Linked DNA regions of Callithrix jacchus. The protein of the gene in region 3 interacts with the protein of the main gene of each other region in a pairwise test. Links are inferred from orthologs where the notes say so. Each region holds a gene or a part of one and is shown on either strand. Other genes may lie near its edges.

What was found.
Region 1: the proteins of SSX2IP (region 3) and ZGPAT interact in binary tests that used the Homo sapiens proteins (3 or more experiments, as listed by UniProt). The two-hybrid records come from large-scale screens. The link is inferred for Callithrix jacchus from reciprocal best matches to the Homo sapiens genes SSX2IP and ZGPAT.
Region 2: the proteins of SSX2IP (region 3) and FAM161A interact in binary tests that used the Homo sapiens proteins (3 or more experiments, as listed by UniProt). The two-hybrid records come from large-scale screens. The link is inferred for Callithrix jacchus from reciprocal best matches to the Homo sapiens genes SSX2IP and FAM161A.
Region 4: the proteins of SSX2IP (region 3) and CARD9 interact in binary tests that used the Homo sapiens proteins (3 or more experiments, as listed by UniProt). The two-hybrid records come from large-scale screens. The link is inferred for Callithrix jacchus from reciprocal best matches to the Homo sapiens genes SSX2IP and CARD9.
Region 5: the proteins of SSX2IP (region 3) and SHFL interact in binary tests that used the Homo sapiens proteins (3 or more experiments, as listed by UniProt). The two-hybrid records come from large-scale screens. The link is inferred for Callithrix jacchus from reciprocal best matches to the Homo sapiens genes SSX2IP and SHFL.
Region 6: the proteins of SSX2IP (region 3) and NDN interact in a two-hybrid assay, tested with the Homo sapiens proteins (2 studies listed by BioGRID). The link is inferred for Callithrix jacchus from reciprocal best matches to the Homo sapiens genes SSX2IP and NDN.
Region 7: the proteins of SSX2IP (region 3) and TOP3B interact in binary tests that used the Homo sapiens proteins (3 or more experiments, as listed by UniProt). The two-hybrid records come from large-scale screens. The link is inferred for Callithrix jacchus from reciprocal best matches to the Homo sapiens genes SSX2IP and TOP3B.

The regions. Positions count from the first base shown.
Region 1 is NC_133506.1:59,198,070-59,202,035, reverse strand, and holds the start of ZGPAT (zinc finger CCCH-type with G patch domain-containing protein), read right to left. Parts: upstream 2,801-3,966; 5' UTR 2,762-2,800; exon of another isoform or gene 2,667-2,761; intron 2,314-2,666; 5' UTR 2,286-2,313; coding exon 1,732-2,285; intron 1-1,731. Other genes in the region: ARFRP1 (ADP-ribosylation factor-related protein 1), read left to right, coding at 3,623-3,715, 3,961-3,966. UniProt on the Homo sapiens protein: Transcription repressor that specifically binds the 5'-GGAG[GA]A[GA]A-3' consensus sequence. Represses transcription by recruiting the chromatin multiprotein complex NuRD to target promoters.
Region 2 is NC_133515.1:52,310,044-52,313,244, forward strand, and holds the end of FAM161A (protein FAM161A), read left to right. Parts: intron 1-1,265; coding exon 1,266-1,410; 3' UTR 1,411-2,701; downstream 2,702-3,201. UniProt on the Homo sapiens protein: Involved in ciliogenesis.
Region 3 is NC_133508.1:121,905,599-121,909,680, reverse strand, and holds the start of SSX2IP (afadin- and alpha-actinin-binding protein), read left to right. Parts: upstream 1-1,282; 5' UTR 1,283-1,514; exon of another isoform or gene 1,515-1,636; intron 1,637-4,082. UniProt on the Homo sapiens protein: Belongs to an adhesion system, which plays a role in the organization of homotypic, interneuronal and heterotypic cell-cell adherens junctions (AJs).
Region 4 is NC_133502.1:184,844,282-184,848,326, reverse strand, and holds the start of CARD9 (caspase recruitment domain-containing protein 9), read left to right. Parts: upstream 1-1,245; 5' UTR 1,246-1,393; coding exon 1,394-1,742; exon of another isoform or gene 1,743-1,895; coding exon of another isoform or gene 1,896-2,178; coding exon 2,179-2,316; intron 2,317-2,488; coding exon 2,489-3,348; intron 3,349-3,755; coding exon 3,756-3,881; intron 3,882-4,045. UniProt on the Homo sapiens protein: Adapter protein that plays a key role in innate immune response against fungi by forming signaling complexes downstream of C-type lectin receptors.
Region 5 is NC_133523.1:9,278,975-9,282,911, reverse strand, and holds the start of SHFL (shiftless antiviral inhibitor of ribosomal frameshifting protein), read right to left. Parts: upstream 2,801-3,937; 5' UTR 2,690-2,800; coding exon 2,669-2,689; intron 2,197-2,668; coding exon 2,073-2,196; intron 1,877-2,072; coding exon 1,827-1,876; intron 108-1,826; coding exon 69-107; intron 1-68.
Region 6 is NC_133507.1:5,529,857-5,533,553, reverse strand, and holds NDN (necdin), read right to left. Parts: upstream 2,401-3,697; 5' UTR 2,313-2,400; coding exon 1,347-2,312; 3' UTR 501-1,346; downstream 1-500. UniProt on the Homo sapiens protein: Growth suppressor that facilitates the entry of the cell into cell cycle arrest.
Region 7 is NC_133502.1:193,906,916-193,909,198, forward strand, and holds the end of TOP3B (DNA topoisomerase 3-beta-1), read right to left. Parts: intron 2,151-2,283; coding exon 1,949-2,150; intron 1,070-1,948; coding exon 588-1,069; 3' UTR 501-587; downstream 1-500. UniProt on the Homo sapiens protein: Releases the supercoiling and torsional tension of DNA introduced during the DNA replication and transcription by transiently cleaving and rejoining one strand of the DNA duplex.

The DNA.
Region 1 (3,966 bases), on a different chromosome or scaffold from region 3:
CAGTACACGCATGTAGTATCAGCTATCAGAGAGGCTGAAGTGGGAGGATGGCTTGAAGTAGGGAGGCAGAGATTGCAGTGAGCTGAGATTGTGCCACTGTACTCCAGCCCGGGTGACAGGGCAGCAAGACCCTGCTTAAAAAAAACAAAAACAAAAACCCCCACAAAGTAAGACATCCAAAGAACTAGGAGTGCTACCTGGCCAGCCTGAACTATTGGCTAAAAAGAAAATTACCTACTAGAAAGCCTGGTAAATATTTCTTCTCAGAGAAAAGTAAAAAGGAGCAAAAATAAAGCTATGCGCTTATGGAAATGGAGACATCATGGTAATAGCTGTGGATATTCGAACATGGAAGAGGTGCTGCCATGAAACGTGTTATCTATAATGATGTGGAAGTGACTCTTTCTTGTCTTCACACTGACTTGGACTTTCAAAAAGTTACTTTTTAAGTAATATTTCCTTATCAGAGATCCACTCTGAAGTATTCATAGTTGGAAAAACCCAGTACCTTCTGAAATTTGCTTTAAAATATCCAGGAAGGGAAAAAGCGGGGCGGGGGAACAAGCAAAATGATAATAGACTGTGGGCAGTGATTATGCTAGGCTCTCTCATCTGGGGCAGGTTTCAAAATTTCCATTAAAGTAAATTTAAAAGTTGAATTCTAGAGAATAAAACTGACAACAGGGCCGGGTGCGGTGGCTCACGCCTGTGATCCCAGCACTTTGGGAGGCCAGAGCGGGTGAATCACTTGAGCTCAGGAGTGTGCGACCAGCCTGGGCAACACAGCAAAACCGCACCTCTACTAAAAATACAGAAATTAGCTGGGTGTGGTAGTCCAGCTACCTGGGGGACTGAGGCAGGAGGATCAATTGCGCCCAGGAAGTCCAGGCTGCACTCCAGCCTGGGTGACAAAGTAAGACCCTGTCTCAAAAAAACAAACAAAACTGACAATAGGTTGGGGACCTATTCTCTTTCACATAAGCCTCGCTCTGTTGCCCAGGCTGGAGTACAGTGGCTGAATTTTGGCTTACTGCAACCTCAGCCTCCTGGGTTCAACTGATTCTCCTACCTTAGCCTCCTGAGTCGCTAGGACCACAGGTGCCTGCCACCACGCCCAGCTGATTTTTGTACTTTTTTTTTTTGAGACGAAGTCTCACTCTGTCACCAGGCTGGAGTGCAGTGGTGTGATCTGCAACCTCCACTTCCTGGATTGAAGCGATTCTCCTGCCTCAGCCTCCCGAGCAGCTGGGACTACAGGAACACACTACCATACCCAGCTGGCTTTTATACTTATAATAGAGACAGGGTTTCACCATGTAGGCCAGGATGGTCGCCATCTCTTGACCTCGTGATCCGCCCGCCTCGGCCTCCCAAAGTGTTGGAATTACAGGCATGAGCCACTGTGCTTGGCCGATTTTTTGTACTTTTAATGGAGATGGAGTTTCGTCATGTTGACCAGACTGGTCTCCAACTCCAGACCTCAGGTGATTCCCCCCCGGGCCTCCCAAAGTGCTGAGATTACAGGCGTGAGCCACCTTGATTAGCCTCCTTCCATGCATCCTGCTCTTATCCCAGAAGAAAGAGGCACATGCCTAAACAAGGATACTGCTTTCACAGCCCGCCTGCCCCAGGAAGCTGGGACCAACTGCAAAGGGAGGGCCGATCCTGACCTGACCCTGTATGTGCACCCCGTACGCCTCGAGGTTGCCATCTGACAGCAAAGGGCTTTACCTGCAGTTCTCCTTGAAGCGACACTTTCCCTCCAGGAAGAACGGGCAGGGCTTCAGGGACTTGTGAGTGGGGTACAGGTAGAGCACACGGACACCCGCCGAGCCATCCTCCGCCTCTTCTGTGCCCACCACCATGGCGTTGTGATACTCCAGGGTGCCCCACGAGCTGTAGTAAGGCGCGCTCACCTTGGTCCCACTCAGCTCTTCCTCCTCTCCCTCTTCCTGCCCACCTGCCTCAGATTCTGGCCCCGCCTCTGCTTTAGGAACTGTCTCTGATCCGGCCCCAGGGGCCGCCTCGGCGATGACCTCCCGGAAAGCCTGGTACTCAGCATCTTCCTGGCCCAGGCGCTCTCCGTCCAGCGCGGCCAGCAGCTTGCTCTTCCTCACGGACACCAGGCTGGCCTCGGTGAGCTCGATGAGCTCCTTCAGGTCCCCCTGTAGCTGGCGCAGGTCGGCCTGCTCGGACGAATCCAGGCCGGCGCCCAGGGCCAGCTCCACCTGCTGCAGCTGCGCACGGTAGGTCTGCAGGGCAGCCTCCAGGCTGTCCTCATCCATGTTGAGAGAGGGAGGCGCTGGACCGGAGCTGCGAGAAGAGGGGCCTGGTGAGCCCCGCGTCTCGGGACCGACACGGAGCGAGGGTCTCGCAGCCGCCACCACAGCCTGCGGCGGGCACGGGCACGTCCCCTTTCCCTCGCGGAGACACCGGTTCAGAGCGATAGCTCCCGGCGCGGAGGTCGCAGCCCGGTACCCCCGCTCGGGCTCCGCACTTCCCTTCCGAGCCGCCCCGGGCTCGCTGCTAGCCGGGTTCCGCGTCACCCCCTCCCCGCAGGGCGACCCCGCGCGGCCCTCCGCCGAGCGCACCCGCCGCGCCCGCAGCCTTGCAGGCTGGTCCCGACCCCCGCCCGGCCTCTCTTCCGTCCGGCCAGGGCCGCGCACCTCCTCAGCGCGGTTTCCCAGCCGCCTCCATAGAGAGCCCGCCGGCCTCACCGGCTAAAGCAGGCCGGAGCCCCGCTTTCGCCCTCGCAGCCTACCGGCACTTCCTCCCGCCGCAGCCGCCTCCGGAAGTGCCTGGCGCGCGGTGGCAGCCGGGAAGCGGAGCGCAGAGGCCGCCGGGACGCGATTAAGCTTCTGCCCCACGGCCCGCGTCCCGTCAGGCCCCGCGCGGGGTCGGTGCCGGGTCAGCAGCGGCGGCTTAGAGGCCGCGGCGGACGCAGGTAGGTCGGAGGCTGTGCGGCCGGGCCCGAGGCCCGAGAGGCGGCCCTGGACTCGAGGTTGGGACGCGGGTGTGACAGGAACCAGCTTTAGCAGCTTGTCGGCGAGCCTCGAACCTGGCGGCCGCGACTGGCAGCCGCCGGGAGCCCGGGGGCCCGAGCGCAGTTCCTCCTCCGCGGGAGTCCGTCCCCGCCCGCCGCGCGCTGCCTGCGGGTCCGCTCTCCACAGGCCGTCCCCGTTTTAAGAAACGGGGTGATGGGGCGCCTGCAGGGGCTCCTGGCTGTTACTGGGTGGGGCTCGCGGCCGAACACCCGAGGGCGCTGTGCCCAGGCGGGGCTGCAGCAAGTGCGTTCCCCGTTCCGCGCGCGTGAAGCGTGGGAGCGACGCGGGGGGGAGGGCGGGGGCGCAACCGAGCTCACTGTGAACACTGGCGGGGTGGTCCCGCGGGCAGGGAGGCCCCGGGGCAGGAGTGGCGGAGGGTGGCTGATCTGGGAGAAGTTACGGAGGCCGAAGAGTCACAAAGGGATGGGGTGGAAGAGAGATGAGGAGTCGGGAATGGCCCCAGGTTCTAGTCCTGAGCGGTCAGCTGGACGTGGAGCACCACTGACCACCGTGGAGAAACTCGGGGGGCGGGTGCGTTCTTGCTGTACAGTGACATCTGTCGGGGTGTCCAGGGCAGGATGTACACGCTGCTGTCCGGCCTGTACAAGTACATGTTTCAGAAGGACGAGTACTGCATCCTGATCCTGGGCCTGGACAATGCTGGGAAGACGGTGAGTGCCCCTCCCTTGCCTGAGCCCCTCCCCACGACCTGGTGTCAGCTGCATGCTCACCACCCAGACAGAATCCAGACTTCTGAGAAGACAGGGTAGTCACCGCCAGCTTCTTGAAGAGCAGAACGTTGCTTTGTTTCTGTTTTTTGTCTTTTAAGGAGCAGGCCTGAGTAAGGATATTTGGGAAAAAGACTTGGGAAACACTGTAGTCCCTATTTGATGTGTCTGCCTCCCTCTCTCCTCAGACCTTC
Region 2 (3,201 bases), on a different chromosome or scaffold from region 3:
AAGATGTCTTAATGGTTTACCTTTGAAAAAATTGTTACCTGCAGGAAAGCATACAATTTTGTACTATGTATATATTTTTGTTCTATATTGTTTTAAAAAATATTTTACCCAGTAGTAAAAGACCTGTGAACTCTTTTAAAACATATTGATATTTTGACATGTGTAACACATTCACATTCTTGTGGTGAAGTATTATTATTTTTTTTTATTTATTTTTTAGAGATTGGGTTTCACCATGTTGGCCAGTCTGGTCTTGAACTCCTGACCTCATGATCCACCCACCTCAGCCTCTCGCAGTGCTGGGATTACAGGTGTGAGCCACCACTCCTGGCTGTGAAGTATTTTTTTTTAAAACAGAATAACTTAGATTTCTTACTGACATAAGTAACAAAAATAATAGCATGCTTTCAAATGATGTTTAAAGAATCAGTCACTCAAATTTTGAAGTAAATTTGTTTTCACCTGGGCGCAGTAGCACCCACCTGTAATTCTAGCACTTTGGGAGGCTGAGATGGGTGGATCACCTGAGGTTGGGAGTTCTAGATCAGCCTAACCAACATGGAGAAACCCTGCCTCTACTAAAAAATACAAAAATTAGCCAGGTGTAGTGGGGCATGCCTGTAATCCCAGCTACTTGGGAGGCCGAGGCAGAAGAATCACTTGAACCTGGGAGGCAGAGATTGCAGTGAGCTGAGATCGCACCATTGCACTCCAGCCTTGGCAACAATAGCAAAACTCCATCTCAAAAAATAATAATAAATAAACAAATAAATAAATAGATAAATTAGTTTTCAAGAATATTAAATTTCTCAATTGCTGACTTTTTTTTTTTTGAGACAGAGTTTTGCTCTTCGTTGCCCAGGCTGGAGAGTGCAGTGGCGAAATCTCGGCTCACTGCACCGCCACCTCCTGGGTTCAGGTGATTCTCCTCTTTCAGCCTCCCGAGTAGCTGGGATTATAGGTGCCTGCCACCAGGCCTGGCTAATTTTTGTATTTTTAGTAGAGACAGACTGGTCTCTGCCAAATGCTTGCCAGGCCTCAGCCTCCCAAAGTGCAGGGATTACAGGCATGAGCCAACATGCGCAGTCTCAGATGGCACTTTTATAGCATTTTCTGTTTTTTTTTTTGAGTTTTCTTGATAACAAATTGGAACTCATACACTTGAGGAAGACTGGCTACACGGTGGCACACTTGCAGAGGGGTTTTTTTTTACATTTAAACCAACTCATTTTTCCTTCGAAAGACTGATAAATTTCTTCCCCTAGCTTTAATGAAGAAGAAAAAATAGAAGAGAGAGAAAATGGGGAAGAAAATTATTTTATTGATACCAACAGCCAGGATTCTTATAAGGAAAAAGGTGAAGCTGATGAAGAGAGTGGAGAAGAGAAATCTGTTGAAGAATCACACTGAATCATCAAGGTCTCCTCTCTATGCCCTTGCTGCTGTTCGCAGTGTCAGGGTGTGAGCAGCTGCATTTGTGTTTAGAACATCTGTGGGGACACCTCTGATTTGTGCAGGGCAGTTGAGCAAAGTCATCTGTACCCTGAAAAGCCTGAATCCAGTTTATTGGTCATTTGATCAGTTAGAGTAAGGCTTTGCCTATTCAGTTTTAAAAATCATTATATACAATCTGTTTACAACTATGATTTTGTATTTTTTAAAAGTGTTTGAGAATCACAGCTGTCAAACTGTTATAAAAATATACGTTGTTTCATTAATTTTAATAGAAAAAATGGCTTAGTATTGAAAGCAGAGAGAAATATTGGTCTTTGGTGATTTACTTTTTAAAAATTTCTGGAAAGTGTGAATCAATGAGTATTTTTAATTATACTATTTGCCCATTCTTTTTCTCTGAAATACATTTCACAGAATAAATCCTTGAATTTATTTTGCTACTCTGAGCCATTTTTAAAAGTATAGAAAAAAAATACTTACAAATTTTATTTTTGCACTGAAAGTTCACTGTTAAATTGTCTACACCATCATCCCTTTTTCTTTTAATCCTTAGTTCTAGTCAAAATTATTTTTGATACGTAAATTATTAGGAAAGTTTTTATACTAGCTTTTTTAAACCTTTGTATTATTACAGATGGAAGTATTTATGGCATGTGTGAGTTATAATCTAAATTAGGGGCAAGTATTCCTGTTTTATATATGATGAAATTGTGCATAGGAACTTGGCTAAGGCAAGTATCCAAAGTAATTCAGATTTAACTCTTTACTGCTAGACCCAGTTGTGTTCAACTTTTTACATATTGTTGCAAACACACTTTGTCTCTCTGGGTACAATGTTAATCTGATTTTATGAAATAATTTTTTCTTTAAGCAAATTTTTGTTTTAAAATTTGAAGCCAATTATAAAGCTGTTACAGCATAAGACGTCTTCTCTTCTAAAAACAATCAGCATCATTGTAAAAGGATGAACTCATATAGGTGTATGTAATAGCAGTGTTCCCCAACTGGCAATTTGTGTTTTAAATTGAAAAATAAGGTTATTTTTCTTCATTAGGGGCAAATGTTTACTTGTAATTTCCTTCCTACAGTTCATGTTAAAAGTGAAAATTACTTTTCACTTTTATTAAATTGTAAACTCCTTGGGAATTGGCACCATTTACAAATTCATCTTTGTATTCCCTTAATATTTGGCACAGGATTATACATATGGTAGGTACTTAATAAAGGTTTGAATGACTGTGCAGATGAATATGGTTTTTATATACTTGTAGCTATTTCAGCATGAGTACACATGGGATTAAAAACATTTTCCTCCTAGCTCATTGGGAGCCAGTGAAACACAATCTACAAATTATAATAGTACTTAAAACATTACTTGCTTTCAAAGATTCACTCCTCAGCCTGTCCCTTCTCAATTTCATGGGGAGAGTGTGGGCTTTGGTCATGAAACACTTGGCTTCAAGATCAATCTCGTTTTCTTACCTTAAAAAATATGGGAATTGTACCTATCTTGGGTAACTGTAGGAAGGACTGGATGAAATCATGAATGGAAAAGCTCTTTGCAAACTGTGATATTCAAATGATGGTGTCAGAAGACAGAACATTCCTGAGGAAGCTATTGACTTAAAATACTTTTACTTAAATGAGATACACTGTGATTTAAATATTACTTTGTTAGAAATCACTTTTGAAGCACTTTGTTAGATATAATCTGGTAAACACAGAGCCAAAGTTAAAAAAAGAGAG
Region 3 (4,082 bases):
GAGACCACTGATTTATTCAGGCAGATCTTATTCCTCCCTGGGGTTAGGGCCAAACTTCCCAGATCTCAACCAAGCTTGACTCAAACCTTTTAAAAATGTAACTGTTAATGGTAAGGGCACCTGGGCTCAACAGCAGCTAGTTGGACCTCTGAATGCTTAGGCCAAAGGAAAAGAGGGGAATTTCATTGGGCCCTCAAGTTGTCGCTGCGGCATGCTTCTTCTGCTGCTTCTGGCCTTGATCTTTCATCCAGGATTGGGGATACGTTCATGCAAACTGGAAGGCTGGCATTCCTCCTGCTCTTGTTTTTCAGTGTTAATACATCTTCATCTCTCATACTGTTTTGGTTTCAAAATACTCTGAGGAGCCTCCTTGAAATACCAAACCTGTTTTTCGCCTTTTGAATAAATCCCTTCGCTTCACCAAAAGCAAACCAACCAAAAATCAAAGTACATTTTTGTGTAACCCATATGCCTGTGATTTCTCCATCTGATCTCCTTCTTTTCTCTGGCCTCTTTTCTTCCCCGGAGAATTTTAGGCTGCCAGGGAACCAGGGAGGAGCCGGCCTGACCCTGACCACGGGTGCAGCAGGCATAGGTTTTCATTGCACATATTTTGCTGAGTGGGTGTAAGACATTTTTGCATAAACTGAGAGTTCATGAATGCCATTTCTTAGTCTTTCTTTTGCCCGCTGTCTTCTGCCCAGGTCCATTTCTTTGCCCTAATTTTACATGTAACTTTCTTCCGGTTGGGTTGTTTGCATCCACAACTCCCGACGCTTGAACCTCCCGTTCCTAGCGCCTGACCTAATTCTAGGTGCCGGCTGTTTGATTAATTTCTCCACTTTGGCAAACGAACGTGGCTCTTCTGGAAGCTTCACTTTTGCTGCTAGGTTGGGTGCTGGGGTTCAGCGGGGCTCCTAAAAAGTGCTCTAAAGCAACCACGACCCCCTGTACCCACAGAGCTCCGACCCCGACCGCTGCAGGCATCAGGAGGAGGCGGGGAACAGGGCCTGGACGGGTGAATCACAGGGCGTAACAGGTGCCGCAGCCGCAGCTGCGCTCGCTGCGCGCGGACTCCAGGGATAAGGTCTTTTTCTCCGGGTTTTTTTGGAGGTGAGGAGGAGACTCCAGAGGCCCCCACCCGACCAATGTAGGCCGCGGTTGTTCATCGCCTAGCAACTGGCGGAGCCAATGGGAGGCGGCAGGGCCTGCGGCGCCGGCGCGCTGGGGCGGGGTGGGAACCTCAAGAACCTGCGGAGGCCGGGAGGCGGCCGCAAGGGGCGGGGAAGGCGGGAGTCCGTGGCGGAGGAGGAGCCGCCGGCGGGAGGCGCTGTGAGGCGCTGCTGGCCCTCGGGGCTGCGGGAGCCGGGCTAGGACGCCAAGCGGTGACTCCCCGCCGCTCCCGGGGGCCGTGACGGTGAGCGGCGGCGCCTCGCTGCGGGGATTGTGACGCGTCCCACCAGGCAGTGGGCGGGGGTGGGGTGGGCGCCGGCGCTGGGCGGACGCGCGCGGAGGTGAGAGCCAGTACCTGGCTCAGCGCCCCGCGGCTCGGCGGGAGGCTGCGGGCGGCGGTTGGGGCCGTTGCAGGGTGCGGGTGAGCGTCAACCCGGGCCGCGCCTGGAAGAGGAGGTGGGAGGTAGGTGCTGGCCCCGGGACCGCGCCCGCAGAGGGCTCTTGCCCAAGGAACCCCAAACCCTCTCCCGGATGGAGCGAGGGTGGCGCCCAGCATAGGGAGACAAGCGGCGCGGAGACGCGGAGGAGGAGGGGATAGCCAATTTGGGGCTGCAGAGTCTCAAAGCGGCCGTGGGGCAGGCGGGCTTTGGCGATTTGCTAGTGCAGCCGCAAGAGGCAGTGTTTAAAATGACTTATTGGGTGGCCAGTGGCCGCTGTAGTGGAAGAGAGAACCCAGATAGTGGTCTAATAAAAAGTGTAGGGGAAGAACTTACATCATCCAAGCGGCAGGCATGTGTGAAAATACTTTGGTTTAGAATTTTATAGTCAATGACAGTAAACTGAATTGTAAGCTCCTTGTACGTTTTTTGAGCCTATGCTAATTGCCCATTTAGGCAGATCGCTTGGGCCCAGGGCATAGAATCTACTAAATAATTTGCTGTCATCACGTATAATATGGAAATCTTTAGATTATTACTCAGTTTCAGGGCCCATAGTTGTAAACGCCAAACTGTCATTACTAGCAACGCTGATAAAGTTCTTGTTGAATCTAAGATAATTGAGATTTTTCTGGACGCTGTAATAGGTTGAGGATTAGAAGAAGGGTGGTTTAGAAGTGTAAGGGTGGTGGCTTCTTCAACTTCCTGGGCTCCCTGACAATTCATATTAGAGTCAAGGTCTAGAGTTTGCTGTGGGCGATGGATGTCATGGAACCCTTCATGGTTCATGGGGGATTGGCTTACTCTGGGTTAGAAGAAAATTCTGGTAGTCGTGTAGTTTATCCTGAACTAGAAAGGTTGGTATGACCTGACTCATTTAGGAGCCCGAATAAAATTTGTAAAGAATTAGAACTTTGGAGAGAAAAGAAATGCCCTTCAAGTTGACATCAAGCTGTCTTGAAATTTAGAAGTTCGAGGTAGATTTATGAATTTGGATCCAGTTGGCAAAACTTGATCCATGAAATCTCTTATCCTAAAACTATCAACCTACATGCCTAGCCAGCTTAGGTTATTCATTCACAGTAAACAAGTGAGGAAAGCTTAACTAATTTAACACTCTGTTCTGCCTGCTGTCAAAGTTTCTCAAAAACGGTTCTTTGAGAAGAAGGTTAGGAACTATAGTTAATCAGTGACTGGCTGGGCCTCTTAGGCCAAGTCACTTTATACTCTTCCTTCCCTTCTCTTTCCCCAGCTGTACAGTGAAGATAATAAAGCTCATGGGTTACGTAACATGGGTGAGGCGGCTTGAAGATAACTGTGAAGACTTAGTTATTCTAGGATGAAATGTGAAGATCTCATCACACATTATGCTTTGTGACAAGGCTTGTTAAAGCATATTATGTTCTAAACATAATGAGACAGATATATGAGAAATCTAAAATGTTATGCTGAAATTGTTTGCTAAAGACCTCAAGTCTGGCACAGTGTTTGATGGTATACTTGGGATCTCCTGATGCTTGACAGTCTGCTCTTCGGCCAAGGCTGGCCCTGACACAGGTTTTGTAAACTAGACATTTGAGTGTTTTCTATGTAGTATGCACCTAGAGAAACTAGGCGCATGAAAAGACGTGGCCCCAGAATTGTGTGATTTTAATTCATTTCACATGTTTAAATTGGATCGCTTTCAAAGATTTTTAAATTATTTTCTTCCATATCTTTTCAATAGCTGTCAACATACTTTCTTATTGTTCTAACCATTTGTTCATGATACAAAGAGGTTTTGATACGACATGGGTTTGTTTTGTGACTTTGGTAATGGTGATATGGTTAAAAGTAAAGGTACAAGTTATCTTGAATTCGTGAGTTTATGGGATGAGATAGAACAGAGAAATGCACCATTAGTAATGAAAAACAGCATAGGATCATGCCTTTTGATTGCGGGCCAATATTTTATGTACTACCAGCAGATTTACTGAATTATGCTTAAATAATTCTTTCAATAAACATTCATTAAACACTTAGTAAGCTGCTACTTGCCAGACCTGAGGGTAAAAAGATGAGTCTTTCCTTGCGGAATTGTATTTTGGAAATTATCAGTATAGCAAGGGAGAGAGCAAAAAAATCTTACAACAAATATAGGAAGGCTTTCGAAATGAACGAGACTTTCAGCTGTGTCTGGCTGAGGTGGTGGAGTTTGTCAAGCAGCTGGTGCATTCTGCAGCAGTGCACAGTTGAGGAGTTACAGGTGGTTTGGTAGAGTTGGACCAGGCTGGGGTTGTTGTATTCTTAAGGCTGTAGAACAGTGCTGTGAACATTGACTGGTATATTACAGGGAATCTTCAGAAGGTTTTATGTAGGGAAATTATATTTGATTTTTACTTCAGAAGGATATTTCCACCAAAATCAATAAATTGATCCAAAATGCATTGAACATAATCCAAATATCTGAAAGACAGGAGTCCCACAAAGCAG
Region 4 (4,045 bases), on a different chromosome or scaffold from region 3:
CGTGCTCCTCTTCCCTGCAGTCACGGGTAGCATCTCCCAGAGGCTCTGCAGCCCAGACTCCTGGTTTGTCTTCGGTCAGGTGGGTCCTGGACCCTCAGGTGGGTAGGTCTGGTGCTTTTCTGAAAGGTGGCCAGGAAGGTTGGTGTCAGTCTCATTCAGGATCCTGGCGCTGATGCCCCAGAGCAGCATGAGGCTTTCCACAGGGAGCCGGGCAGCCTCCATGTGCGGCCCCATCCGTTTCACGGCCACTGTGTACATTTCAGTGGCATTACCAGCCGAGGCAGGTGGGACTCTGGATTCAGGCTGGAGAGGCAAGGCAGGGGCCCAGTGTTCCCAGGACTGTCTGCCGTGTGGGTGGTGCTTCTATTTAGTCCCTTGTCTGTTTGTCAAAATTGGCCTGAATGGGAAGACAAAGCACGGCAGGAAGTTGAGAAAATCCTCACAAGACTAAGCCTGGGGCAACTGTCTCCAGGAGAGGTGACCCAGCTCCTTTGGGCTGGAAACCAGCTTTCCCAGCGGGGCTGGAGGCTGTCTGAGGAGCAGGGTCTTGCGTGGGAGGCAGGACCATGTGGGTGCTCCCCGCCTTGGCCCAGTCACAGTCCCGGAGGGAGTGGCTTTCAGTGGCGGAGGCTTCTACCATGCTGGCAGAAAGGGACAGCAGTGGCTGGTCCCAACATGGGTAGTTCTTTTGTTGCAGTGAGCGAGATGGTCCTGGAGGGGGTGGCTGGGGGGCAGAAGAGTCCAGGAATTCACTGGTGCCCAGCACCTAGGAACCTGGAGAAAATGCCACAGCAGCACTCCTGGCTGGCCAGGGCAACACTGACAGCCCCTCCCAGGGTTGTGGGGCCAGGGAGTGGGGGGGTGACAGAGACACACTCCTGTGGGCAGCTCTACCTGGCTGGTACAGTGACCCTGGCAGCTGTGGCAGGGCTGGGCGGCAACTCTTGCATCATCAGCAGCCGGCCATGGAGGAGGGAGGGCACAGCCCGGGATGTGAGCGGGTGTCGGTCAGGGGAATGAGGAAGTCCCAGAAGGACCAGCTCCCCCAGCTGCTGTGCTGGTGGGAGGGTCACAGGCCAACCTGCTCTCACCCAGCTTGGCCTGGCCAGAGTGCCAGGCAGGTGCTCACACCACTCCACCCATGGAGGTGGCTGTCCTTGCAGGCTCCAGGGCTCCAAGGTGAATTGGGAGTGTCCAGGATGCAGAGGCCAGAGTGGGGGTCATGCTGAAGGGGGGGTTCCTCTCTCGGACCCATCTGTGCCTCCCTGGGTGCATATCTGGGTGACAGGATGGCCAAGGGGCAGCAGCAGGGGCTAGGAAAGGCTGTGGAGGGACCTGAAGGGGAAGGTGTCACTGTGTCTCTGCTGCCTCCCTGGGGGATCTGGCTGTGGGAATGGGCACCTCTCCTAGACGCCCCTGGGCTGATCCCCTTGACAGCCCTGACAAGAGCCCTGGCCCAGCATCTGAGAAGGGAGTGGGAGCAGGGCCTGGGTGGGGGCAGGAGGCCGTGTCACGCTCAGTGGCTGCCCCAACTCTCCTCAGCCTGCCTGCTGGGGCCATGTCGGACTACGAGAACGATGATGAGTGCTGGAGTGCCCTGGAGGGCTTCCGGGTGACGCTCACCTCGGTCATCGACCCCTCACGCATCACACCCTACCTGCGGCAGTGCAAGGTCCTGAATCCCGATGATGAGGAACAGGTGCTCAGTGACCCCAACCTGGTCATCCGCAAACGGAAAGTAGGTCAGTGCTGTCCCACAGGCTCCTGGCCCCAAACCCAACCAAGGAGCCAGCTCGGAGGTGGCTGCAGGCTCTGCGACCCTGACCCTCAACTCCAGAGGAACCCCACCCAGCTTTGCCCCTGGCCACCCAGTGAGGCCCAAACTCAACCCTGACATGTGGCCGCCCCACCCCCCAGCCCTCTCTTGCTGGCTCGGTGCTGCCAAGAGGGGTCATGGGGCTCCCACCACAGCAGGGACTCCTGAGACAGCCAAGGGGTGGGTGGGCAGCACTGCCCCCAGCCTAGCACCTAGACCCTCAGGGTGCCTCTTCCACGATCCAGACAGCAGCACACCTCCTCTGCGTCCCAGCCTCCACCTCTCCCCGCCCCCGGGCCCACCCATCCCAGCCCTCTGCCCCGCCAGCACCCCGCCCCTTTTTCGGCCTCTCTGGCCTGCAGGTGTTCTCCTGGATATCCTGCAGCGGACAGGCCACAAGGGCTATGTGGCCTTCCTCGAGAGCTTAGAGCTCTACTACCCGCAACTGTACAAGAAGGTCACGGGCAAGGAGCCAGCCCGAGTTTTCTCCATGATCATCGGTGAGTGACGGGGAAGGCAGGGCCAGCAGGGAAGGCGGGGCTGGGCAGTGGTGCTCGGTCAACCGACAGGCCCACATGCTTAGGAGCCCTGAGCTCCTGCCACAGCGCGAGGCGTGATGGAGCTGGACTGCCAGGGAACAAGGGCCCTGTCTGACACTGGCCCGGTCCACAGATGCGTCCGGGGAGTCAGGCCTGACACAGCTGCTGATGACTGAGGTCATGAAGCTGCAGAAGAAGGTGCAGGACCTGACTGCGCTGCTGAGCTCCAAGGACGACTTCATCAAGGAGCTGCGGGTGAAGGACAGCCTGCTACGCAAGCACCAGGAGCGTGTGCAGAGGCTCAAGGAGGAGTGCGAGGCCGGCAGCCGTGAGCTCAAGCGCTGCAAGGAGGAGAACTATGACCTGGCCATGCGCCTGGCGCGCCAGAGCGAGGAGAAGGGCGCTGCGCTCATGCGGAACCGCGACCTGCAGCTGGAGGTGCGCCTGCTGCCCCAGGGAACCAGGGTGGCCCCCCTCGCCTGGCCTGGTGGGGTCTGCGGGTCGGGGGCAGCCCCGTGGGTCGGCTGTCAGCACCTGGAGTGGATGGCTGGGCTCACCCGGCCTTCTGCAGATCGACCGGCTCAAGCACAGCCTCATGAAGGCCGAGGACGATTGCAAGGTGGAACGCAAGCACACACTGAAGCTCAGGCACGCCATGGAGCAGCGGCCCAGCCAGGAGCTGCTGTGGGAGCTACAGCAGGAGAAGGCCCTGCTGCAGGCCCGGGTGCAGGAGCTGGAGGCCTCGGTTCAGGTGTGGCTGCGGGCAGGGCGGGCACAGGTGGGGCGGGTGCAGCCTGGCAGGGTGGCATGGGCCTTCCCAGCTGGGCCATTGCTTTTTGCCCCCTTCAGGAGGGAAAGCTGGACAGGAGCAGCCCCTACATCCAGGTGCTGGAAGAGGACTGGAGGCAGGCGCTGCGGGACCACCAGGAGCAGGCCAGCACCATCTTCTCCCTGCGCAAGGACCTCCGCCAGGGCGAGGCCCGTCACGCCCGGGTACGAGCGCAGGCGAGGACATGTGGCCCCTGGGGGCCATGCTAGGCTAGGTGGGCTGAGCTCCGCCCACTCTGTCTGGAAGGTGGGGTGCGGGGACCCCAGTGCAGCATCTCCACTCACCCACTCCTGGAGGCACAGTGGATGGTGATCACTCCTTGCTCACCTGCACCCCATGGCAAAGGCCATGGGCTCCTTGTAGCTGGGCACGGCAGTGCCTGAGGCCTGGGGAGAGCCCTGCGCTGCTGTGGTCTGGAAGGGCGGGGTAATAGGGGCCTGGGGGCTCCTATGGCCTCCCCCAACATCCCGACTGACCTGACCCATGTTCCTGAGCTCCTAGCTGGAGCACCCCCCAACTGGTCAGAATGGGGAGCCTCAGGCCTTGGGGGCTGAGCTGCTACCCCCTGCAGTTCGTGGAGGAGAAGGAGATGTTGGAGCTGCAGTGTCGGGCCCTGCGCAAGGACTGCAAGGTGTACAAGGACCGCATCGAGGCCATCCTGTTGCAGATGGAGGAGGTCGCTGTCGAGCGGGACCAGGTGGGTGCTCACGGTGGGGGCTGGGGAACAGAGTGCCCCATTCGAGGTGGGTGCACCAGGGCCACAGGCCTTGAGGGCAGTTGTCAGAGGGTTTTTAATCTTTATTTTGTTATTTTTGAGATGGGGTCTCGCTATGTCACCCAGGCTGGCCTCAAACTACTGGC
Region 5 (3,937 bases), on a different chromosome or scaffold from region 3:
ACATGCTTCTGTGCCTGCAGATGTCCTCCTCCCCACTTCCCCATCCCTAGCCACAGCCACCAACTCACCTCAATGTCCCGGTCCTGTTTCATATCTTCTGGTGGGTCCTGGGTGGAGATAGCAGGGGCAGAAATGGGGGATGGGGCTCAGGCCTCTTTCCATCTGTTTGCTGGGGTAGAGGCCTGGCTACAAGGAAAATGGGGTGCCCCTAACTCGCCAGGAACTCACAGAGCACTGCCCACTTACTGAGAGCCAGGTGTGTGGTCTCAGTTGTCCTCATAACAGCCCTGAGAAGTGGGCACACCTGTGACATTATTGCTGCACTGGAGAAACTGAGGCTTAGTGGAGGACTTGCCTGAGTGAAGCCAGCCTGACTCCCATACTCACTTCCTGCCTGCAAATGCTACATGCTTGTTGGTGTTGTGATGCATCACCCCTTTGACGCCACACTGTGCCAGAGATAAGTGGTGGGAATCTGGGTTGAGATTCAGGTTTGAATCCTAACTCTATCACTTCCAGTTGTGGGGACTTGGGCAAGCCACTCCCTGCCCCCTGGGTTCCCACTGACTGACAGGCATGTCAGAGCTCAGGCTCTGACTCCAGGTGGCCAGGGTTCAAATCTCAGCTGCCACCTGCTTGCCTCGAGAACCTGGCAAGTGACTTAAGCCTCAGTTTCTTTGTCTATGAAATGGGGATGATAAATAATAGGACCTGTCTCCTGGGTCACTGTGGTGATGAAATAAATCAATTCCTGGAGTCTCGCCATGTGGGAAGTACTCAATCAATGCTACCCTCTGTTATTGTTATTATTATTTTATTTTTGAGATGGAGTTTTTTGCTCTTGTCGCCCAGGCTGGAGAGCAATGGCACGATCTCGGCTCACTGCAACCTCCGCCTCTCGGATTCAAGTGATTCTCCTGCCTCAGCCTCCCAAGTAGCTGTGATTGCAGGCATGCACCACCACACCCAGCTAATTTTTTGTGTTTTTAGCAGATACGGGGTTTCACCATGTTAGCCAGGCTAATCTCGAACTCCTGACGTCAAGTGATCTGCCTGCCTCTACCTCCCAAAGTGCTGGGATTACAGGCATGAGCCACTGCACCCGGCCCCTCTGCTATATTTTTATCATACTTTTACATGTGTAAATGTGGACTATGATGCATATTTTATTATACTCTTTTACAGCCCTACACTGAGCCTTTCAGGCAGATGAAATCCACAGCGTTCCCATCACCAAAGCTCTCCAAGAAGCAAAGTAGCCGCGTTGAACCTGTGCTTCAAAACCATTCATTCATTCATTCATTCACTCACTCACTCACTCACTCAACACAAGGGTTCCATTTCCCCACCTCTCTCTCCTCCCCAATCCCCTGCTCATCGCAGCCTTTTTAGGGACTGCCACTAACAACCCTTCCCCACTTCCAGTCTTTGCTCATACCATTCCCTCCCCCACCCCAAGACCCCTGGCTTCCCCTCCTAGGGCTCACTACACCCCATCCTTTAAGACGTGGTACCTCCTCCTCCAGGAAGCCTTCTCTGACCTCTGGGGCTCCCCTACCATGGCAATAATCCTGGCTCCTTTCATTGCCTAGTTTCATGGCTCTCTCTCTCCCATTGAATACAATCAGCACATAATGAGCGCCTACTGTTTGCAGGCTCCCTGGTCTCGCAAACGATGGAGAGGTGAAAAAGTGAGTAAGATTGGGCATGAGTTGCAGACGACAATGCCTGGTCCCTGCTGTTTCAGAGGAGGGTCCCCATGAACGGGTCGGGCCCCCTCTTGCTCTCCCTCCCGTGACCCAGTCCTTTGAGAGGGGAAGGGTTACCTGGGCATCCAGGCCGTTACTCAGTTCTTGGCCATCTTTTTGCTTTACCCCTGCGGGGAGAGTGCGCATAAGGGAAGGGCCTTTGAAGGGTCTGTGGGAGTTCCAGGCCACCCAGAACCGCGACGCAGAGCCTCCCCCAAGCTGGGATCTCCAGGGGAGGTGATCTCAACGCCTCTCCCTACACCACGCCCCCTCGGCGATCCCACGCGCGGTCCCCGCACCAGGCCCGGGCCCCCTCAGCCTCACCGTACACGATGGAGCGCCCCACTCCCGTGTGGTCGCTGCCGAATTTCCTCATCAGAGCCCCCGCCTTCTTGGAGGATACCTTCCCATGAAACTTCTCCCGGAGGCGCCGGACGCTCTTCTCCAGCTGGGATGGGGACACGGGGGCTCCGCTGGGGGAAGGGGACGCGCGATCTTCCCTCCCCCATTACTAGGCACCGTTCTCCCGGCCTGAACTTGACCCTTGGTTTTGGCCTCCGCCGCCCCCCCCCCATCCCTCTACGGCATTTCCTGGAAAAAGCCAAAGTCCCCACAGGGCGTTGGGGGAGGGCGCGGGCCGGGGCGAGCGTCCCAGCCTAAGGTGGGGGGTCGGCCAGGTTATCTCTGGCCTCTGACCTTTGACCCTGCAGCCCCCGCTTTTCCTCAGGGAGGCCTCATTTTGCTCTGGGGAAACGTGGGAGTCACTTTCCTTTTCAAGGGGGGCGAGCGCAAGGCAGGGGTAAGGATCTGGGGTTCTAGGATGGGGGTCCCCAGGAACTGCGAAGCCCCTTCCGCGCCTCCTGGCCGCTCCTCGGGCTCTGTCGCGGCTCCCCCCCGGACCAGCCGTAGCCATCTCCTACCTCCACACCTTCCTGAGACATGGTGGCGGCGGCGCAGGTCCCCGCGAGGGTCCGCACTGCGCGGCTCAGCCGCCCCCCTACCTGGGCGCGCCCGTCGGTCCAGCAGCCGCGCAGGGCAGGGGGCGGTGCCTCGGGGCCGGCTCCGCCCTTCCTCCCCGGCCCCTGTTTCGCTTTCGGTTCGGGGGGGACCGGGCGCGCTGGCTCCGCCCTGGCTCCGCCTTTGCTCTTGCGCCCCAAACCCAGGCGGGAGCCCCGGGTCTGCACCCTGCGGCGGAGCGCGCAGACCTCGGGCGGGGGAGGCGGCGCGGCCTCTGCAGTCGGTCACATGTCCCCACGCTGCGCGGGGTCCGCGTCTTCACGTCCCTCGTGGGGGCGGGGCTGCATCGGAAGGCCGCGGCGAAGCCCCGCGCCCCCCCACCCAGCGCGCGCTCCCCCAGTCCATCACCCTCCTCTGTCCTCCCTCCTCCCCCGGGAATCTGGAGCTTCTGAGGACCTGGGCCCTTTTCCTGCCCTGAGTCTCTGTCCCGCTACGGTCACTTCTTTGAGCCTCAGTTTACTGCTCTGTGAAATGGGGAAGATCCTGGTTTCTACACCATGGAGTGGAGCCTGTGCCAAGATTCCCGAGTGGATCGCGTAATAGCGCCTGGCTTGCAGTAGGCGCTCCACTAGCACTGGGCCACCTGCTGTGTGCCCTTGATGGGGCAGGCAGTGTGTGTGTGTGTGGTGCGGGGAGCGGTGCTTGAGAAAAATACAGATTCTTGGTCTCTAGTAACCCGGTAGAATCCGGCTGTCTCAGGGATCCAGGGAATCTGCCATGGTTGAGAACGCGGTGGGCCGGGACAATTCGAACCTTGTACAGGATGCATCTGGTAGCCCTAGAGTGGTGGGGCTCTGGCCCAGCCTGGGGACATCAGAGATGGCTGCCTCGTTGGAGGAGGGGATGCTTTGTACAGCGTCACTGGAATTGGAGGTCTGGGGGAGGAATAGAGTGGGGAGATGAAGCAGCCTGCGGAGCCCCCAAAGCAAGACTAAGTCTGGGGCGCTCGGGCAAGGGTTTCTTAAGCCCAGCACGCTTGACATTTTGGGCTGCCTAGTTCTTTGTGTGGGGGACTGTCCTGTTATGGGGAACATTTAACAGCATCCCTGGGCTCCACCCACTAGATGCCAATGGCTCCCCACTCTCCCCATGGTGACTACCAAATATGTCTCCAGAGACTGCCAGATGCTCTCTGAGTGGCAAAATAGCATTGTGTTCAACGACTCCAGTTT
Region 6 (3,697 bases), on a different chromosome or scaffold from region 3:
AAGATGAAAATTTCTTAATTTACACAATCAGAATAATCTTGCTTTCTCCAAAATATTGTGAGAACTAGAAAAATAAAATTCCTAGCCTCTCTCTCTGTGTGGCCCATGAATGCATGTGAGTGTGGGAGGTGGGAGCTGGGAGTGTGGGCTCCCACGTAAAATGTAAAAATAAGTTTGAAAATAAATAACCTAAAAGCCACAGGGTGTATGAGGGATTGTAGGCAGGTGGGGACAAATGTGGGCTCTGGATTCATTCTGAGTTGAAGTGCCAGCTCCTTCTCTTGCTAACCTTTACAAGCTATGGAAAGTTAATTACCTACATTATTCCTGTTTCCTCCATGGTGCAAAGGCAGTAGATGCCTTCCTCACAGGCCTGTTGTGAGGGTTAAATAAAAGGGGAAAAATACATGTTAGGGCTGAGTACAATGTCTCACTCTTTAAGTGCCCACAAGACATCCATTAATTTTGATAAAATATAGAAACTTAAGGGAAGGAAGTTATTTTTAGTTTTTATTCTCATATGATGTGATGATGGACAATCATACTGCTTTGTTTTTATACTTTATATTTGTGCATGTTTTTGAAATAAACAATTACATTTAAAGACAATAAAACTATAACCTTCACAAATTTAGGAGTAATCACGAGTAGCGATTTTTCCCACCCTATTAGGGGAAACAGTTACATCTGTACACATTGTAAAATAGAGAATTGTCTCATTCCCAATCATAGTGCTCTGTTAAAATGATAAGAGTACACTTTTCCAAAAATGATTGTATCACAAGAATCTTTAATGTTTACTTTAAAGTTGACTCACGGTAGGGTTGTATATGTGTTTAGTAAATTGTGCCAAGTGCTCACATTGAGACCAGTCCAGTTCAAATCAGTTTACTCCACGAGAATGTCTTCTGTGCCCAGCAAGGTCACGAAGAGCCTTGACTTTTCTCTTGGTTAGGCCAGCTTTGCTGGTGAGTTCTTCCAAACTCTGCAGGAGCAGTCTACCCCAACACACATCACCAGTCCCATATAAAATAATAAGATGCAAACTTTCTCAAGGTACTTCGTCAGTTTAGCATGTCTCAGGTACAAAAATCCAAGAAAGGTAGCACAAAAGCGAAAGCACCAACCAAGCTTACATATAAACAAACATGCATACATCCTAAATACTACACAAGAGTACCCAAATGAATACAACATTGCATTAAAGGTATAAAAGCACTGTACTGAAAACTTAAAAGTTACACGTGAATACTGCACTGTAAATCCCGAACACTCTAATGACCCACCCCCACCCTTCCACAGCCCCGGTGAGGGTCAGAAAGCATTTCATCTGCCTCCAGACCTTGCTAGTCCTCGGAGACACTGTTGCGGGGGCAGTGAGCAGCGGGATTAGCCTCCCGCAGAGCTCTGGCCTCCTCCAGGGCTTCTCTGTATCGGGAGGGCCAGGCCTGGGGGTCTTTCTTAAAGACCCTGGCCAGGAACTCCATGATTTGCATCTTGGTGATTTCACGGCTGGCCCGGGAGCCCCAGAAGAACTCATACTCTGGCGGCTCCACGTACGGGACGCGCTGGTACTTCAGGTAATTCTGTTGGACGAACTCCTCGGTGATGAGCTTTCGCACGTCCCCGAAGGTGGAGTGCTTCTTCCAGGGCCGCAGCCCCAGGATGCGCAGCACGTTCCAGACGGCGCTCTCTCTGGCGCCGCGGCCCTTCACGTAGATGAGGCTCAGGATCATGAGCAGGAGGCCCGTCATGGGCATGCGGTTGCTCAGCGCCACCCTGTCCAGCTCCTCCGGCTCCAGCGCTTTGACCAGCGCAAACTCCATGGTGTGCAGGCTGGTCAGCCTCAGGTGCAGCCCGAACACCCGGGCGAGGATGAGGCTGGTGCGCCGCAGGATGCTCCTGCACCACTTCTTGTAGCTGCCGATGACATCTTTCACCATGTCTGGAAACCAGATGATCATCTTCTTCTGGTCCTTGACCAGCACGTACCACATGAGCTCGTGCGCCTTCTGCACCAGCTGCGCCGGGGCGGGCGGCGCCGGGCCGGGCTGGGCCGCGCTCGGGGCCTGGTGGGCGCGGCCCTCCTCTGCGGCCTCCAGCAAAGCCTTCGGGTCGACCTCCTCGATCGGGGCCTGGGGCGGCTGCGCGGCCTGCGGGGCGGCCGTCGGGCCTAGGGGAGGGCTCTGCGGCTCCGCCAGGGTCGCGGACGGAGGAACCCCCCCCGGAACCCCAGGGCTGCTCTGCGCCTCGGAGCTGGGTGCCTCGGCGGCAAAGCTAGGGTCGCTCAGATCCTTACTCTGCTCTGACATGTCTGCGCCGTCTGGCAAGGGCAGGGCCTCTGCGTCCAGGAGCTCTTCGAGCCTGCGCTCCCTCCGCGGACTCCTGGAGAGGAAGTGCGCGTTGCTGCGCGCGGCGCCTTCCGCAGCGGCGGGCAGGGCGGGGCGGCGGCGGGACGCGGCACTGCGCCTGCGCGACCGCGGCCAGGGCGGGCGGGCGGCCGGGGGCGGGCGGGGCCGCGAGGGGCCCCGACGGGGAGGGTCCGCGGTGAGGCGTCACCTGGCGGGACAGCGATCCCGGGGTTTCCTGTTCCGGCCGAGGAAGTTCAGGGTAGGAGAGGAGGGAGATGGATGCCTGTGGAGAAGGAGCAGGTTTTGGGGAAAGATGATAACTCAGGTTTTGGGGATGCTGGGGTCGACTTTCCTGGGAAATGCTCGCCTGGGTATATCCAGAATCCAGTTAAGTATGAGAGCCCCAGAGGAAGGTCTGGGAGGCTGTGCAAACTGGAGCTTTATGTGAACGAGTGAGAGGAACGGTCGGGCTGTCCGAGAAGACGTGTAAACTGTGAGGCGGATGTCCGAGGTTGGAATCCTGAGAAATTCCAATAAAAAGTTGATTGACTCCCTCCCTACCACATCAGAGGGGTTATAAGGAAAGGAGAAATGCGGTTATAAGGAAAGGAGAAATGCAGCGTGTCGTTAACGTGATTTCCTACCCGCGTGAGCCGTGAACTTGTTCAGGAGGCAGTGGGCTTAGACCATCATTGATGCTTTCATGGGCATAGGTTTGGCTTTTACACTTACTTTGAGTCACTTTGATTCCATTTTCTTTTATTTTTCCATGCTTAGTCCATAACAGAAGGATTGCCATATCTATTAGCACAAACTTGTATGATAATGCATTTTTCCCTCTGCCCAGCACCTCATTCTCCGATTCACCTTCTCCCAGGACCTTCTCTGAAGCTACTGAGTCCTCAGTGTTGGGAGTCACACCCAAATCATTCCTTCCTGAGATCTCCAAAAAGATATAGGTCCCATGGGCAATATCTGGCGGTGTCTCAGATGACCAAAAGGTAGCGGGGGCAACATATGGATAGCCCTGTTTTCCAGTTATAGAAAACAGATTCCCAGTGGGCCAAGGCAAAGCTGTCACTCCTAGAGGCTGTCCGTGGAAAAAGGGGCATTGCTGGAGCCTCCACAACCAGGGGCCTCCATGCTGCTTCAGCATCCTTGGTCTGCGTTGATGTGGTCCTTCAGCCCTTGCCGGGTTCCCTCTCATCAGCAGCTTCTTAAATATGTTGTCTCGAGTCTAGTTATTGCCACTTGAAGCCCAAAGCATGTTTTAAAATTGTCTTGACATGTCTAGAGTCCTCACTATGAGTATCTATCTTTTCTCATTTGTCACTTTAATTTTCCTC
Region 7 (2,283 bases), on a different chromosome or scaffold from region 3:
GGTGACCCCGGGCAGGAGGCTGCAGCGAAGACCAAGGGGATTCATGAGCCAGATCCAAGGAGGGTGTCTCCTAACCCTGCCTGCTTCATTAGACTCTTCTCCTGCTGGAGCCACGGGCTGTCAAGGCTGCCTTCCTTAAGGCATCAGGGCCGATGCTTGTGCACAGAGCTACCATCAGCTGTACAGACTGAGATGGGGTGAGTGCAGACTGGTCTATTCTCCAGGGCTTCAGGCTTGGGGCCTCCCTGCTTGCACTGTGAGCATAGGGAGAGCAGGGAGCACTCTGGGCATGTGTGTGCAGACTGGTCTATTCTCCAGGGCTTCAGGCTTGGGGCCTCCCTGCTTGCACTGCGAGCGTAGGGAGAGCAGGGAGCACTCTGGGCATGTGTGTGCAGGCTGAAGGGAGAAGTACTGGGTTTCGGAGAGGGAAGGAGGGCCCCACAGGTGCCCAGGGACACAGTAACCCTCTGACATTGCTGCACCAGCAAAGGCTTCCCAGCTCAGAAGACAAAAATGCATTTTAATAGTTTGAAGTGCGATGAGGTGTCTGCACAGCACCACAGCCTGAGTGAGGGAGGGCAGGGCCATCATACGAAGTAGGCGGCCAGGGCTGACATCTTGTCCTTGGGCCGCCTGGGGTTGGGCTTCCCAGGGGGCCTCCTGGCCCGGCCCCGCCCTCGACCCTGTCTCCTCCCTGGTCCACTGCGGTGCATGGGGTGGCAGGAGGCTGCATGCTTCAGCTCCACCAGCTCCTGGAAGACGGGGTCACAGAAGACGCAGCCCATGTGCTGTGTCTCATCACCTGGGAGTGGGGACTTGGCCTTGTTGAAGTCCACGTCAAGCAAGGCGGCCTCACAGACACTGCAGGTGTCGGCGGACACCCGCACACGGTGGGCGTTCTCAAAGCAGTGCGCCACCACGTTGCACTTGTTGCAGGCTACCTTCCACTTGGGGCCCGAGGTGGGGTCCAGCACCAGTACCCCACTCTCGCATTCCACGCACTGGCCGATGCCCAGCATGCTCAGCGAGTGCTGGCAGGAGGGGTGTGTACATTCATTGCAGCCCATGCCTGGTGGAAGAGGGGAGCCCTGTGAGGCATGCTTGCCACACCTGCCTGCCCTCTGCAGCCTGCTCCCAATGCCTCAAGCTCCTGGATCCCTCGTCCCAGCAGAAGGAACTCTTCTTGGCCTCGCTCCTGGGGACAGCTTTGCTTACGCTTCGGCTCCTGGCTGCTGTTACCTTTGTTTTCTGCTTATCTGAAACCTCCTCAACTCTTGAGGCCCCTTGCTGGTGCCATCCCAGTGGGTTCCAGCTGACTCCATCCCCACTTTACTTTGCTGCCACAGCTCGTTACTGGTAATGCCACATGACCCTCATGTCACTGGGCCACATGGAGCACCCTGTCAGCTGCTCTGGAGGCAGCAAGAGGGTGGAGATGGGGCCTCACTCTCCTGGCAGCCTCGGGGCAGACTGAGGCCTGAGGGGGCTTCCTGCAGAGCCCACGGTGAATGTGGGCAGACACCTTACTCCAGCAGGTTCCTGTTCTGGCTCAGTGCTCTCTGACCTGCCTGCCTGGACACATGCTCTCCCTTCTCCAGTAATGAGGATGAGAATGGAGGACAGTGGTGGACGCTGACTGGGGGTGCCCACTCACTGGGTGGGTCCTCTTGCTCACTCAGCTCCAGAGGGATCACTGCACACCTGTGCCCAGGTCCTGAAAGTAGACTAGGGTTGCCTGCTTAATTCTGACACAGAGAGAGGGTGGCACTGGCTGGCTAAGACCTGAGCAGTGCCCCAGCTATATCCAGGGTCTCTCGTCTCAGTGCCAATGAGTGCAGTAAAAGCCAGGGTGAGGGGTCCCCTTGGAGTCCGGCCTGGTCCAAGGCAGGAGCTGGCACTGAACAGAGACTGCAGCTGCCTGTGAACAGGAGGGAGTGGCCGCACTCACCTTTCTTCATGTCTCGGAAGGGTGGGTGGTTGTAGCAGTAGGGGCACAGTGGGTAGCTCTTGCCCCGAGAGCCTGATGACCACAGGACCAGCTCAAAGTCGTCCAGAGGGCAGCGGAGCTCCTTGTAGAGCTTGATGGTGCCATTTTGGGGGAGTGTGTAAGTCTCGTCACAGTGGGAGCAGTGCAGGCGGCTTGGCTTGGCCTGCGGTAATGCCAGGCAGGGGGTGTGAGGGTCACTGAGGCCACCGACTTGGCCCCTGCCCCACTCCTCTCATAACACACCATATGTAACCTGTCATGTAGAACCTGTGACACACTGCCAGGCAAGGACCCTG